2 linked regions of the Drosophila melanogaster genome follow. Each later gene encodes a partner of the first gene's protein in a complex. Each region holds a gene or a part of one and is shown on either strand. Other genes may lie near its edges.

Region 1 (7,188 bases):
CACTGGTCGTGTGCGTGGGAAACTCTTGCTTCACCTGAATGGCGTAGGGATTGCTCGCATAGAACTGCTGCAGCTGCTCAGGGGATATCTGCAGTGGCACCGTGGTGGTGGCGGCCACCTGCTGGCCGGGATTCTGCGCCTTCTCCAGCGTGAGGCTGGTGTGGCGGGCAATTGAGTTGCAGTTAGTGTTGGGTGTGCTGGGAGCACTGGGCCTGTTCGGAGTGCTTGGGGTGTGGGTTTGCCTGCGGCCCGTGGGCGGAGTTCCGTGCCGATGGCTTGTGGGGGTGACTGAGCCTGATCCCGTTGCTGGGCCTGTTCCTGAAGTCGCCTGCTGCTGGGCAATGCCGGGATGCGGGGGGCTGGCCACATCGTATTTCTCGTCGAAGGTGATTCCCGCCTTCTGGGCGAGCGTTTCCAGGCACTTTAGTGGCCGCTCGAGCTGCTTGCCACCCACCTGCTGTTGTTGCTGCTGCTGGTGCGAGTGTGAGTGCTGGGAGCTGTTGTTGTTATTGTGGTTGTAGTTATGGTGGAGGGGCTTCTCGCGGATGTTCGAGTTGTCCTTCAAGGGAAGAGTGCCTCCTGCTAGAATCGCTGATGCTGAAATCCCCTGGGATGCTGTGGTGCTCACGGGTGTGGTCGTATCGCTTTCTGTGTCCGCTCTGAGGATTGAAAAAGAGAAGTTTGGCGATCAGTAAACATTTGCTCAGCAAAAAAGAGCAATGTCATTTCGGACCACACCACACGCAAACAAACTGGAAAAACAGTGTTCCTAATGGCCTTCTCTTGTCCTAGCGACAAACAATAGGAAGGCAATGCAAACACGTTGTCAGCATCCCCGTTCTGCCCCCTGCTCCCCTCCCCGCTCATGCAAAACAAGCTCTCCCAGCTGAGAATCGGACTTGACCCAAAAATAAGGTCAGCTTTCTCATCATTATTTGTTATTATTATTTATACTGGCCGTGATGTTTTGAAAACGGCCCTTAAATTAAACATTAAAAAATTAAATTTAATGATCATGGAAAACTAACATAACAAAGAGCTCAAAGAAGCTGGGGTCGGAAAAATCGAATTTTTGAAATTTGAAAGCTGGAATCGTTTGCCCATTTTTTGCCCATGTTTGCCCACCAATTAGTTTTTTTTGCCCACGTCCAGTTTTTGAGATATGAATTTTCGAAAAAGTTCGAAAATTTTCGAAAATCAAAAATTTCGCTTTTTTCAAAATTTTTTTTTTTAAATCGCAATAACATCGTTTGCCCACGTTTGCCCACCCTTTAGAATTTTGAAAAAATTTATACTTTAGAAAATATAAGGCTTTTAAGTTTACCTCGGTCTAATCAGAGAGTAAATCGTTTGCCCATCTCTTAAAACCAAATATTATCAACAAAAAAGGTTTGCCCAACCATTATTATTAGTTTTTATCGTTTGCCCACCCTTTAAAAAACCTTTAACAAAAATTTTTTTTCGATTGCCCACATTTAAAATACACCCAATTTCGTTAGCCCACCTCTTTAAAATAAAAATTTCCAAAAAAAACGTTTGCCCACCATTTAAAACTAAATAATTTCGTTTGCCCATCCTTCAAAATTCATTTTTAACGTTTGCCCACCCTTTAAAAATAAATTATTTATTTTTAAAGGATGGGCAAACGAAATTATTTAGTTTTAAAAGGTGGGCAATCGAAATTATTTAGTTTTAAGAGTGGGCAAACGAAAAAAACAAATTTTAAAGGGTGGGCAAACGAAATAATTTATTTTTAAAGGGTGGGCAAACGTTAAAAATGAATTTTAAAGGATGGGCAAACGAAATTATTTACTTTTAAAAGGTGGGCAATCGAAATTATTTAGTTTTAAGAGTGGGCAAACGAAAAAAACAAATTTTAAAGGGTGGGCAAACGAAATAATTTATTTTTAAAGGGTGGGCAAACGTTAAAAATGAATTTTGAAGGATGGGCAAACGAAATTATTTAGTTTTAAATGGTGGGCAAACGTTTTTTTTGGAAATTTTTATTTTAAAGAGGTGGGCTAACGAAATTGGGTGTATTTTAAATGTGGGCAATCGAAAAAAAATTTTTGTTAAAGGTTTTTTAAAGGGTGGGCAAACGATAAAAACTAATAATAATGGTTGGGCAAACCTTTTTTGTTGATAATATTTGGTTTTAAGAGATGGGCAAACGATTTACTCTCTGATTAGACCGAGGTAAACTTAAAAGCCTTATATTTTCTAAAGTATAAATTTTTTCAAAATTCTAAAGGGTGGGCAAACGTGGGCAAACGATGTTATTGCGATTTAAAAAAAAAAATTTTGAAAAAAGCGAAATTTTTGATTTTCGAAAATTTTCGAACTTTTTCGAAAATTCATATCTCAAAAACTGGACGTGGGCAAAAAAAACTAATTGGTGGGCAAACATGGGCAAAAAATGGGCAAACGATTCCAGCTTTCAAATTTCAAAAATTCGATTTTTCCGACCCCAGCTTCTTTGAGCTATAACAAAGTGATATCCGTTTTTTTTTTTTTTTTTTTTGTTTAAGCAAATATGGCTACTTGGTAAATACAAAAATCTGGTTTTAGTCATTCAAAAAAGTGTGAGACAAATGCGGGAACTAGCAAACAAAAACGCTCTTATTAAATAATCATATTTACAATGTAAACATAAAAGATGACTTTCGAGAGTGGCAGAAACAAACGCGGGAAAAGTAAATATGACTCTGAGGTAACGATCACCTTTAACTCGGGATAATATCAAAACTATAGTTCCGACTTAATCACAAGGTCAAGCCTGAAGATATGTACCATGTCATTTCAATTTCTAATTAAGAATTGTGTACCCTGGTTAACTTTTAGGTAGAGATCCCGAGCCCGATCCCGATCCCAATCCCTATCCCGAAAATATTCGTTCTTTTTGTGGACCTTTTTCCGAACCCGCCCTTTTTCAGCGACAATGAACATTTGGCCAACTACTTAACGGACTTTCGCATTCAACGAATGAAGAGAAAGGAGCTGCCTGACAGCCTTCGCATTTCACATCGATCTTTATCTATGGGTTTTCGAATTTCCATGAGCAGCATGGTAGTCGCACTCGTTTTCCACGTTCAACGTTCGACAACAACAGCCCGGAAAACTAATTTAGCCACGCAGCTGGCACCGTTCGATATTATTGTAAAAGGGCAATAAAGCCGATGCGAATTGCAGGCGAAGTTCAAGGACCTTTCCATCGAAATGCTAAAAATGCTGACAGTTGGGAGCAACACGAGATGGTTAGTGTTTTATACAGTAGTGCTCAAGCTAATAGGATTAGTGGACAAACGTAAATGGCTGAGTACTCCACATGGTAAGGATGTTTTTCTAGAAATAATTAACTAATATTACTTCCTGAATCAGTTCCCTGATATAGTTCAACTATGAATGATCTAACTGGAGAAGCGTGGTTTCAAGGTCCTATTGCATTGACCGCGACTGTGATGCCCGGCAGTCCAGAGAGCCTGATCCCCACCCCTTTCCATCGCCCAAAAAGCCCGCAAGGCCCATAAACAGCAAGAGCATAAAAAGCATGAGTGCAAAAAAGACAGAAAAAGGAGCGAAATGGGTTATAAAAGCCGGTAAAAGCATTTTGGCAACCCTCATGTCGCTGCTACCCCGTAAAAGAAAGGGAATATGGGGTGGGTGGTCCAGAGGGGTGGAATACTCGCCACAGGGTGGTGGGTGCGCGTGTGCAAGTGTGTGTAAGTTAAGCTCACGGCCGCACGCTGCGAAAAACCTCTTGAGAGAAAAAAAAAGACTGGTTTCCATGTCGCCATGGAGTAGGGTACATACATTCGAGCTCGAGTGTGTGAGAACCCCCGTAAAACAGCCTGCTTGCAATCGGGGGGAAAGCAGTAGCGGTGGGAAAGGAATGATCAAAATGCGGGGCAGCACACACACACACAGACACGCCGATAGGGGTGCGGGGGAAAGGTCGCGCTCAAATCAAACATCACCTCCAGTGGATTCGGGCGTGCAAAATGCGCGGGAGCGAGCGAGGAGGGGGGGGGCCTTGACAGCCTATTGATTGATACACAAACGAGTTCTGCAATCGAAGAAGATGAAACAAATGTGAGTGAACGAGATGAGGCTATGGCCAGGCCGTACACACAGTCACATAAACTCAGAGCGAGTGCGGTGTAGCGTAGGTGTAAACAGAGTTGTCAACTATTTATTTACAAAAACTGTTGTGCTTTAAACGAGTCTAAAATAATTTAATCATTCTGGTTTATTTTCTTGCCACGAACAATTTAAGTTTGTAGGTAAAAATTAGCATTCAGTGATAACGGACTGTAAGAAATATAAAAGTATTCAATAAAATTGAATCTTCGTTAAACCGGAACACAGATTTCTCAGATTCGTTACAGCTGACAACCCTAGACTGTTTATTTCGGCAGAGTAAAGCAAAATGTAAGCAGGGTTGCCGCAGCAACAACAAAAACTGATACCTTTCGATATAGAACTTTTGTTTTCTTTATGTTGCTTTGTTGCGCGAGTGAGAGAGGGTTGCACGGAGAGACGGAGAAATCAACCACCACCAGCCGACGCACACACACAAATGCAGACACGGGCATGCATTGCGAAATTCGTTGTTAAAAATGCAACAACACCGCACAGCGGGGGGCGTGTGTCGGTTGGATGATGAATGGCGGAGAGGGCGACGGAGGGGAAACTCGTTTTGGGTTTCATGAATTTATTTTCTTTTCTTGGCCCGCCAGTCGAGCGCATTTTATGATGACAGAGAGCACAGAATATCCACTCGCTGCATTTTTACGAGCATTATGATTAACGTGTCATTATTATCCGAATACGATATAGAATCAATATCCAATGCTCAAGAGCAGATTAAACCAAAAATTGTAAACAAAAAGCACAAGTGCAGGCAGTACAAAAGCAGTGATAAAAATAAAACCAAACTAAACAAAAAATACCTTTTTTGCATAAACTTCAATGCACGACGATCCATTATTCAAAATAAAAACAATATTTATAATAAATTATAGGTATGCATGCGTCGGCTTAGGCGTTTTGTTTTTGTTTTCGGCGGCGGCGGAGACACTCGTGGTTGTTTTTGTTATAGTCGGCATGGCGCTTTCTTTTTAGTCCTCAGTTTCTTCTCTTTTTGCTATTTGCCGTATTATATTGTACATTAACAAACACGCACATGTGTGAAGGCAATAAATATAAACATACAACAGGCAACACCAAACATATACATATGTATGTAACGTGGAACGCAAGACAACAAAAGTACACAAAACGAATACGAAAATCCGACAAAAGTCCCAGTGTCTCGTGTGTGTGTGTGTGTGTGTGTGTGCTTGCGTGTAAATGAGTGTTTCGTGCACGGGCAGTAGTAATTAGTACAACCTCCACTCACAGTCACTCCACTTCAACTTCTCCCCGCTGGCTGCAGGCACTTTTCTTTTTCTCAGTGTAACGACTAAGCACCTGTGCACGCGATCTTACATAAAATTAAGCCACAGTCACAGCACTAAGTACTTGTTTTAACTGCACTGCCTACGTCGCCAGCGACGATTCGCCAGCTAGGGGCTCCACTGTGGCGCGGCATCACTTTTTATGTCTGCACATCTGCACTAGCTAATCAACAGCACCGTTAGCTCTTTTTGAAAAAAATTTAACAAATTTGCAGGGTATCCAGTGAGTATGTCGCGTCGGCGGGTTTTTTCTTCGTTCAATACACATGCGATGCGGTATGCGACACATACGACACCACACCAACACGAACGCAGAGAGAGCAGAGCGCAAGAACCGTACACCGCCAAGTTAAGTTTCAAACTGAACCGCGCGCCACAGCGACAACTCTACTTTTCGTTCGGATCGGAAACAAAATGAGCGCATGTGCGCTGAATATGTGTGTGTGTTGGTGTGCAGCTGGATCCGCTTCTCTCTTCTCAGATGCCGTTGCGACTAATAACTTTTCTCTATACCGAAATGCACGGGTGCGAGTGCGACGCCACTAGGAGTGGCCCTGGCCAGTTAGCGCGTGCGAGAGGGATGCCGTGCGTTCGCTTGGGGTTGGAATGAAACGGCAGCAGTTCGTTTGACAAAGCAAAACCAAAACGAGTAAAAAAAACAGGAAGACTACAGCTGGCGGGCATGTGTATGCGTGCTCAACCACCCCGACTGAAAGCCCCCTTCCGTTGCTGAAAACATAACATGGTCTGGTGACTCGACTTTCAAATACCCCTTTTTCATATACCATTCCTCGCTAACTTCAGTCGTATCCTTAAAATGAAAACCCTTCTTAAATATTTATTTGTAAGTTATTGGTGCTGACTACTAACACAAATTCCAGTTAAAACCAAGTGCCCAGTATACCCTTTTACTTTGTGGGTACCGGGTATGTACATACATAAATACGCGCGAAGCCAGTTTTATGTGTGTACACTCGAATGTCTACCGCCCGGCCCGACTCGACAACGATTGTTGCTATACTTCATCTTCTTTTTTCGTGCCATCACAACCACCACCACTACGACTACCTTCCTACCTCTACCTCCTTTCTCATTCCTTCTTTTTCACATCAGATCGGGTCGGATCGGCTTTACCTTATTATTAGTTGTGCTTGTCAGTAACACACGGGTGTGTCGGTTGAGAAGGGGAGGATAGCGTATGCGCAGAGGCAGAGCGAAATCTTATTCTCTCCACCCCATTGAACAGTGGTAAGCGATCCATTATTATTGGATTGCTTTACAGTTGCAGTTTGAGAACCAAGAGTACAGTGGGTCAATTTTTTAGAACAGCAATTTTTCCAAACTTTTTATACATATAAACAATGTTACGATAAGTAAAATGAAAACGTTTAGTAAAATAGAATTATATAATAGACATACGTATTGAGTTGATTTATTAAGTTTTAAGTTTATTAATGTTTCAAATATCCACCACTCATGACCCACTGTGCCTGTCTTTGTCATTTCATTTTTCATTTTGTGCCAGCCCGTGCGTGTGTGCATGCACCATTTGTAGTATGTGTGCGTTGCTTTGGGCTCTTGTTGGTCTTCTTCTTACTCTTCCCACCTCATCCAACAACAACGTCGCTGAGCCCCACAAATGTTTTCATTCCGATTAGCTTTTTGTTGGCTTGTCTCGTCTCGTTTCCTTTTCTTTTTTGCTGCCGCCATATTATTTTTAGGCTTTTTAAGT
Region 2 (6,974 bases), 6.6 Mb from region 1:
CAAGAGGAAGCTCAAGCAACAGACGGCTGACCTGATACGGTAAGTTTCTAACTGATGGCGTTGTGGTCCATCTCTAATCTCTATTGTGTTTCTTCATTCAGCATCAAATCGATTCGCCACGAGCTAGACGATGAGGAGGAGGACCTGAATGATCTAAAGAAGCGCCGCAAGCAGCGCGCCGAGAAGGCCAAGTTTGAGCCGAAACGCCTGGGGCGTCACAAGTTCGAGGAGCCAGACCTAGACGTAAATCTGCCCGAGGATATCGCCGGAAATCTGCGCAACGTGAAGACTGAGAGCAGTCTGCTGAAGGACCGCTTCCACACGCTGCAACGCAACAATATGTTGCCCACGACAAAGCTCGTCAGCCGCAAGAAGTCCAAGGTCAAGCGCTTCGAGCGCAACTCCCACAAGGAGCCGGGCGTTAGCTATAATGACCTCAAGGAACGGCGCAGGGCGGCCGCCGCTGCAGCCAAGGCTACTGCCAATATCAAGATATAGTTCAGTTATTAGGTCTCTTTATTTTTAACGGAGCTTACAACAATATGTACTTTTCTATAGAATTAAAATCCACATTCTTTTTCCCCCCAAACGAAAAAAATTATGAACTCTAGATCAGGGACTTGCCCTGACTGCGTCTCTGTTTCGGATTGTTCTTCTTTTTCTTCTTGGACAGCGGAGCTGCCAGGTCGCCATCCTCACGCGTCTCGATTGGTCCATCCAGTCGCTTTACGCCACTGAAACGAAAGAGAGGCAAATACGAAATAAGTTATATTTTTTTTAACTGAGTGATGTTTATAATAAAACGAAACTGGAGACAAATAAATAAACGTGGTTATGTATTAAGCACATTATTAAAAAAAATAGGCGCACCTACCTCTTGACGGAGAGCAGCCCGCTGCCACCGCCTGTTCCGTTTGTTTCCAGCGCCTTGGACCAATCCTCTTCGGTGCCCTTGATTTGGAATTCGTCCAGCTGCTCGGCCTTCAGGCGCTTCAGCTCCTTGCGCTGCTGCTTGCTCAGCTTCTGAGCGGTTTGATCCAGCTCCTTGTCGAGGGACAGAGTCAGCGGTTGCAGTTCCTCGCCCTTGGACAGATCCGCCTCCCGCAGCATGCCGCCTTCGATATGCTCCTCCAGTACCGACCGGAAGCACTGATTGCACCGTTTCATGGCATCGAAAAATTTCGCCAACAACTGGTTACCCGGCATATTCAGCTCCAGACCCAACGCATCCACAGTCTTGCCCTGCACGCCCAGAGCCAAAAGGATGCCCTGCTGCACCAGGTCAAGCTGCAGACCATCGATCCTGCCCTGAAAATACAGCTGGGCAATGTCCGTGAGCAGATCGATGATTAGACGAAACTCGGACTGCTGGCGGGCGTAGCTCTCCAAGCGCTGCAGATCGTGCGGCAAGAAGTAAACATCCAGCATTGGCTTATCGAGTACTTTCAGTGCACTACCTTCCGTGTCCACGGACTTGTTCTTCAGCAAGGCCAAACAGAGTTTCGTCTCGAATTCCCTGAACGTCTTTCCCATCAACTTGAGGACTCTCCTGCGGAAGTCCTGGTAGTACAGGCCCAGCCAGGGCGTGGCATTGGGCGTGTGCAGCATAATGCAGCTATGCTCGGCGGTCAGTTCGTTAGATTTCTGGCTCAAATAGACGGGCACAAAGCCGGCGTTCTTCCAGAACTTCAGCAGCTCGGTGGTGAGGCCATAGGATGTGCCAATATAGTCCACGTGTTCCGGGACACGTTCGTGCAAGCGCTGCAGAAGTGTGGGTATACGACTACGTGGCCGGATTTGTTCCTTCAGCAGACTAAGTTCCTCCTCCTCCACTTCCTCGATACCTATGCAAAATTTAAAGTATTATGTAGTGCATAATAAACCATTGGCGTGCGTGCACTCACCTTTACCAGCATCCTTGCTGGCAACTGGACCGTCCTCCAGATTAGTGTGCTTCCTTGCATAGTAGTCCTTGAGCAGCTGAATGGCCCGCTTGCCATAGCCCATCCTCTGGTAATTCGGATGCGTGGCTACCCTCACAATGCGAACGCCACACAGCTTGGGAAAATCTCGATCGCCATACTGCTCGGCTACGTTCCAGGGAATCAGATCGCCCGCCGCCTTCTTGCCCCTGCCCAGGGAATCGCTGATGCTCTGGGCGGAGATCTGACCCTCCAGTGCCACTTGGATAACCACCAATATCTCTGGCAGGGCGTCCATTCGCTGAACCGGACCCAGTAGACAGAATAGATGATGCGCCGGGGCATCGCTCATCATCTGCAAATCGTTTGGTGTGTTCTTGTAGTGCGAGGACACATAAATGGAGACCAGGCGATGGAGAAAGGCCTCGGCAGCCTTGTGATACGAAAACAGGGCGTCCCTGTCCACATAGTACAGTTCACAAGCATCCGGCGTGGGACAGCCCGAGCTAATACTCGGCACCGTACTGGCATCCAAGCACAGCAGGTTGATCAGCCACTTTTCTATGTCGTCGTTCTCCTGATACCGAATCGATTCCTCCAGTTTCAGTGGCGGCCTTGCATTGTTATCCTTTTGCAGCTGGGAAATGAGCTTCAAGCTCAGCGATCTGCCAGTGCCCTCGTATCCATTTATCGTACTGGCCATGAATACCAAATACGGACCGATCATCTTCTTTACCAGCGGCAAAGGAATGGCAGCCGCCTCATCGATCAGCAGAAGATCGGCTGCGTTCAGCAGATGAGTATCGCTGGGAGCTATGTACTGAATGGTCTGCCTGCTGCTTCTCGTAATATTTATTCTTATTATCGCCTTTTTGTAGTCGGCATTGGTGGAGCGTATAATGGTGTAGTCAGCATGCTCCTGGTACTCCAAGGCATCGAAGCCCTTGAGCACAAATTCAAAGAGCGTGATTAAGTTCTCCGGATGCGGTGAGGTAACGTAGATGTTCACATAGCCAAAGGCGACGGCGGCGGCAATCGACAGACCCAGGGCGGCCGATTTACCACGACCACGAGCCGCTGTTAAGGACATGGGCGGCTTCAGTTGCTTGTCGACCAGCGCCTCAATGAACTGGGCAACGGCATTGGCCTGATCGTAGGTCTTGCAGAGATTAACCAGAGCTCCTGCTGGTTGAACTGTGAGCAGGCTCTCCTTCAGCTCCTTGAGGCTAGCCTCGTTGGGCGATCGACCGGCGCCTGCGGGCTGAAAGTTTAGAAACAAATGGTATTAGCTGCTTTAGAAGATTTACAAGCATCAGCTTACATTCACTGGCTCCACGTTGATGGTCTTGGAGCTAAGTGGCAGCACGGTGAGGTCATCGTTGACCACCAGACAGCGCTTGCAGTCCGCCAGGGAGAGAATGAGTCGCTCATTGAATCGACAGGTCACCGTCTGATGGGCTTCTGTGCGGAATCGCTTGTGCACATCCATGCTCATGGTGTACAACTGTTTCAGCGACTGCAGTGTCTTCAGCAGCAGGATGATCAGACCGCCGCCCTCAACCGTTTCCACAGTTCGAGCCAAAAGATTGGGGGTCAGGGCCTCGAAGTCCTGGAGCACACACACGCCGTAGGTTCGTCCGAGGACTGCGTGCGTCTCGGAGTAGTATCTGCCGTGAATGGTGGTGGCCACTCGAAAGGAATCGAACAGGTCCGCCTCATTGACATCCACTTTGCCCACAGCAATCTTCTTTGCTCGCTTTTTGCCATGACTAAAAATGTATCTAGTTAGCTGAGTTTCTGTGTAATAGTTCTACAGTTGGATACTCACTTGGAGATGGCCTCATCCTTGTTCTTGTAGCACCACAGGACCGTGGGTCGCGCCTTGACCGTCGACTTGGTCAGGATGTCGTAAAGAATGGGAACCTGGTCGCGCGCCTTGTCCCCGATGACGATGAACATGGTTCGGTGGCCCAGCTTGACCCCATTCTCGATCATCACGCGTATCCGGTTGTCTATTTTCTTCTTCACCATGCTTCGGCTTTCCTGCGTTCACTTTTCACTTAAAAACTCCGGTTTTCCGAAGTAAATAATGCAAATGAAATTGTTGCCCGTTCAAAATGCACGTGTGCGGTTTAGAGATGGGCGCTTTGTCGATAGTCGCGACTCAACTATCTACTTTACAATGTCACGGAAATCGTCAATCATATTACCATTGTGAAATGCACATGAATGTTGTTTACACGAAGTCTTAAATCGTAGAATTCGGGTGGGATTTGTATTGATGTCTTCAAGAAGGCAGCTTGAATTTCTACCAATGAGATTTTTTTAAAAATTCCCGATTAACACCACATTCGATGTTTTGAGTCAATGCGATACATTTATCGAGTAGTTGTGCATCTCTAATTCCCCAAGCGCACGTTTATCAAAACAGAACATATTTGATTGCTGTCGAGGATTAGCATAAATTGAAGATGTCATCGTGGAAGAATGCGTCGAAAAGCAACCAGAAGGTGCACAGGGAGCGCCACCAGCCGGAGTCGCGCCAGCATCTGGGATTCCTGGAGAAGAAAAAGGACTACAAGAAGCGAGCCATCGACGCACAGAAAAAGCAAAAGACCTTGAAGCTATTGTACCGCCGGGCGCAGAACAAGAATCCCGATGAGTTCTACCACCATATGATCAACTCCAAGCTGTCCAACGATGAGCACCACGAGAAGGACACGAAGGACGAGCACACGCCCGAGCAATTGGCCCTCATGCAGACGCAGGACCTCAAGTACGTGGTGATGAAGCGCACCATGGAGCGCAAGAAGATCGAACGCTTGAAGGCCTCGCTGGTGGACGTGGATGCCATTAAGGGAGCAGCCAACAAACGTATCAAATTTGACGAAGACGGATACATGGAGTTGGACATGGGCGAATGGCTTTTAAAGCATGATGACGAGGAGGAAGAGGAGGAAAAGAAGAAGAAATCGGTAGGTCACCTCTTTAAAACCAACGAGGTTGTAAGCTTTTGTGAGAAACTAATTTATAATTGATATTATACTTATGATTTATGATTCTACTTGTGTGTAACGATTGCCTTTAAATTTTTTGTAGAAAACAACTGAACCAAACCCCATCAAACAGCAGCGCATCAACGAGCTGAAGAAACGCGAGCAGCGTGAAAGGGAACTCGGCATCGTCCAGCAGAAGATTCAGCTGAAGAACACCCTCAAGCAGCCACGCCTACTGAAGCCGAGGAAAATAAAGCCGGGAACCAAGGACAGTGCGCCCGTCTACAAATTCCGCTACGAACGCAAGAAATAGAATATTTCCCCTCTAGTTAATAAAGCAATTAAGTGTTAGTTGAAGACTTTTGACAAAACTATGATTTTTATTGTTTTGGATTAAGGAATTACATATATAATTCCCAATTTTGAATGCAATTCAAATGCAAGTAACAAGTTAAATGAGATATGGCATCCTAGTTTTGGGTCATTAATTCGAATGTTCTGATCAGAATATTTATATATACCGAATAGAATAATATATACCGAAAAAAAACAAGAAAAAGTAAAAGCGAATGGGTATGTAACTCGACTAAACGCTTTTTTCAGATTCGTTAAATATTTAACGAAATTTAGATCTTTCCAGGGCACAAACCAAATTTAGTGCGAGTTTCGTTAAGTTAGGTACGCTTAGCCAAGTCATGACCCCAACTTCAAACTGAATTTAAACATTTGTAATGTTTTATTTAAAAAGTCAGCTTATTTTTTAAATTCATTCTTCTTATCTCCGAGGAACATTTCAAGACTAATATTTTATATGTGCTCTTGCAAGTTAGTGTATGCAACATAAGTTTTCAATATTCAATGTAACTTTTTTATGTTTGTCTTTTGTAAAAATAAGCAACCGGCTGCAACTTTTCGAATTGAAAACCGCAGGCGACAGACAACCGGGCAAACACTCCCCGTATCTCTTTTTTTTTTTTCTTTTTTGTTTGCCTGCTGGTCCTTGTTTTCCCCGATTAAAAACATATGACACCATTTTGATGAGTCGCGCATTTTGGCACGCCAAATTATGCATAAAATAGATCGCTATGTTGACACTTTCCACAACAATAGATGGCTAGAGACCGGCGTTAAGGGGATGGAAGGGACTTGAATGGGAATGGGATGGGATGGATGGGATCGGATCGGATCCGCGGTGTACGGCTAACCTAATCGGACTTGTCACGAGTGCATCACAACAAACCGGGCTCATCGGGGATGAAGTTGAGGATGAGTCCGAATGGTAACGCAAAACCTGCACAGATTTTTTAACTAGCATCAATTGGGTTTGTAATTTGAAACTTAACTGCCAAACTGCGAGGGGTTCGGGCAAAATGGTATTGGGTATGAATGAATGGAAATGGTATTGTGATTGCGGTGGGCACATGTGTGTGACTGCTCCGAATGAATATGCATGCAACTGGGGTGGCAGTGTATGTTTCGTTTCTATTTTTGTTTACCCATCTGGGGGCGGGCAGGTCAAGGTTTCCCTGAATATTAGTTGCCCCTGACAATGGACAAAGCAAATTCGCGCTTAAGTGTTTGCTTCAAACCGAATTTAACGAATATAATTACAGAATGGCAAAGACAAACCCCAGCTAATAACGATTGGTGGGTAATTTATAAATGATTGTTTCATATAATGATAAAAAAAAAAAACATAAAATATGGTTATTTTGTGTTTGGGAAAGGGATTTCATTGCTTTGACTTTTAATATTACATATGCTGCAAAAGGATTGGTGAAGGAATATAAAATGGATTCATTCAAAGGCTATATAGACCACCATATCCATGTAGATTACTTATAAATATGGATAAATTGATTTTATCTAAAACATTTCGCACTTTTCCAATGATTCATAACTTCCCACGTTGCAGTCCACAAAAAAGAGGATATGAGCATGTTGGGAGTCCTGTTCCCAAAACAGGATTAAGCATTCATTGTAAGCTCGTTAAATCGCGTTGTGTGTGTGTGTGTGTGTGTGAGAATGAATTGCGTGAAATATTTTTTTCGCCGCG

Evidence for each region. Proteins that work in one complex are often made in the same cells at the same time.
Region 2: ph-p (region 1) and l(1)G0020 share a complex: the UniProt entries of both Drosophila melanogaster proteins name them as parts of the PRC1 complex.

Annotation. Positions count from the first base shown.
Region 1 is NC_004354.4:2,131,068-2,138,255, forward strand, and holds the start of ph-p (polyhomeotic proximal), read right to left. Parts: upstream 5,556-7,188; 5' UTR 4,985-5,555; coding exon 4,950-4,984; intron 660-4,949; coding exon 1-659. UniProt on the Drosophila melanogaster protein: Polycomb group (PcG) protein. PcG proteins act by forming multiprotein complexes, which are required to maintain the transcriptionally repressive state of homeotic genes throughout development.
Region 2 is NC_004354.4:8,716,213-8,723,186, forward strand, and holds l(1)G0020 (lethal (1) G0020), read right to left. Parts: upstream 4,066-6,974; 5' UTR 3,954-4,065; coding exon 3,751-3,953; intron 3,692-3,750; coding exon 3,244-3,691; intron 3,184-3,243; coding exon 1,905-3,183; intron 1,845-1,904; coding exon 875-1,844; coding exon of another isoform or gene 871-874; intron 854-870; exon of another isoform or gene 735-853; coding exon 608-734; 3' UTR 501-607; downstream 1-500. Other genes in the region: CG1785 (uncharacterized protein), read left to right, coding at 1-39, 102-498; CG1789 (uncharacterized protein), read left to right, coding at 4,394-4,897, 5,022-5,231. UniProt on the Drosophila melanogaster protein: RNA cytidine acetyltransferase with specificity toward both 18S rRNA and tRNAs. Catalyzes the formation of N(4)-acetylcytidine (ac4C) in 18S rRNA. Required for early nucleolar cleavages of precursor rRNA at sites A0, A1 and A2 during 18S rRNA synthesis.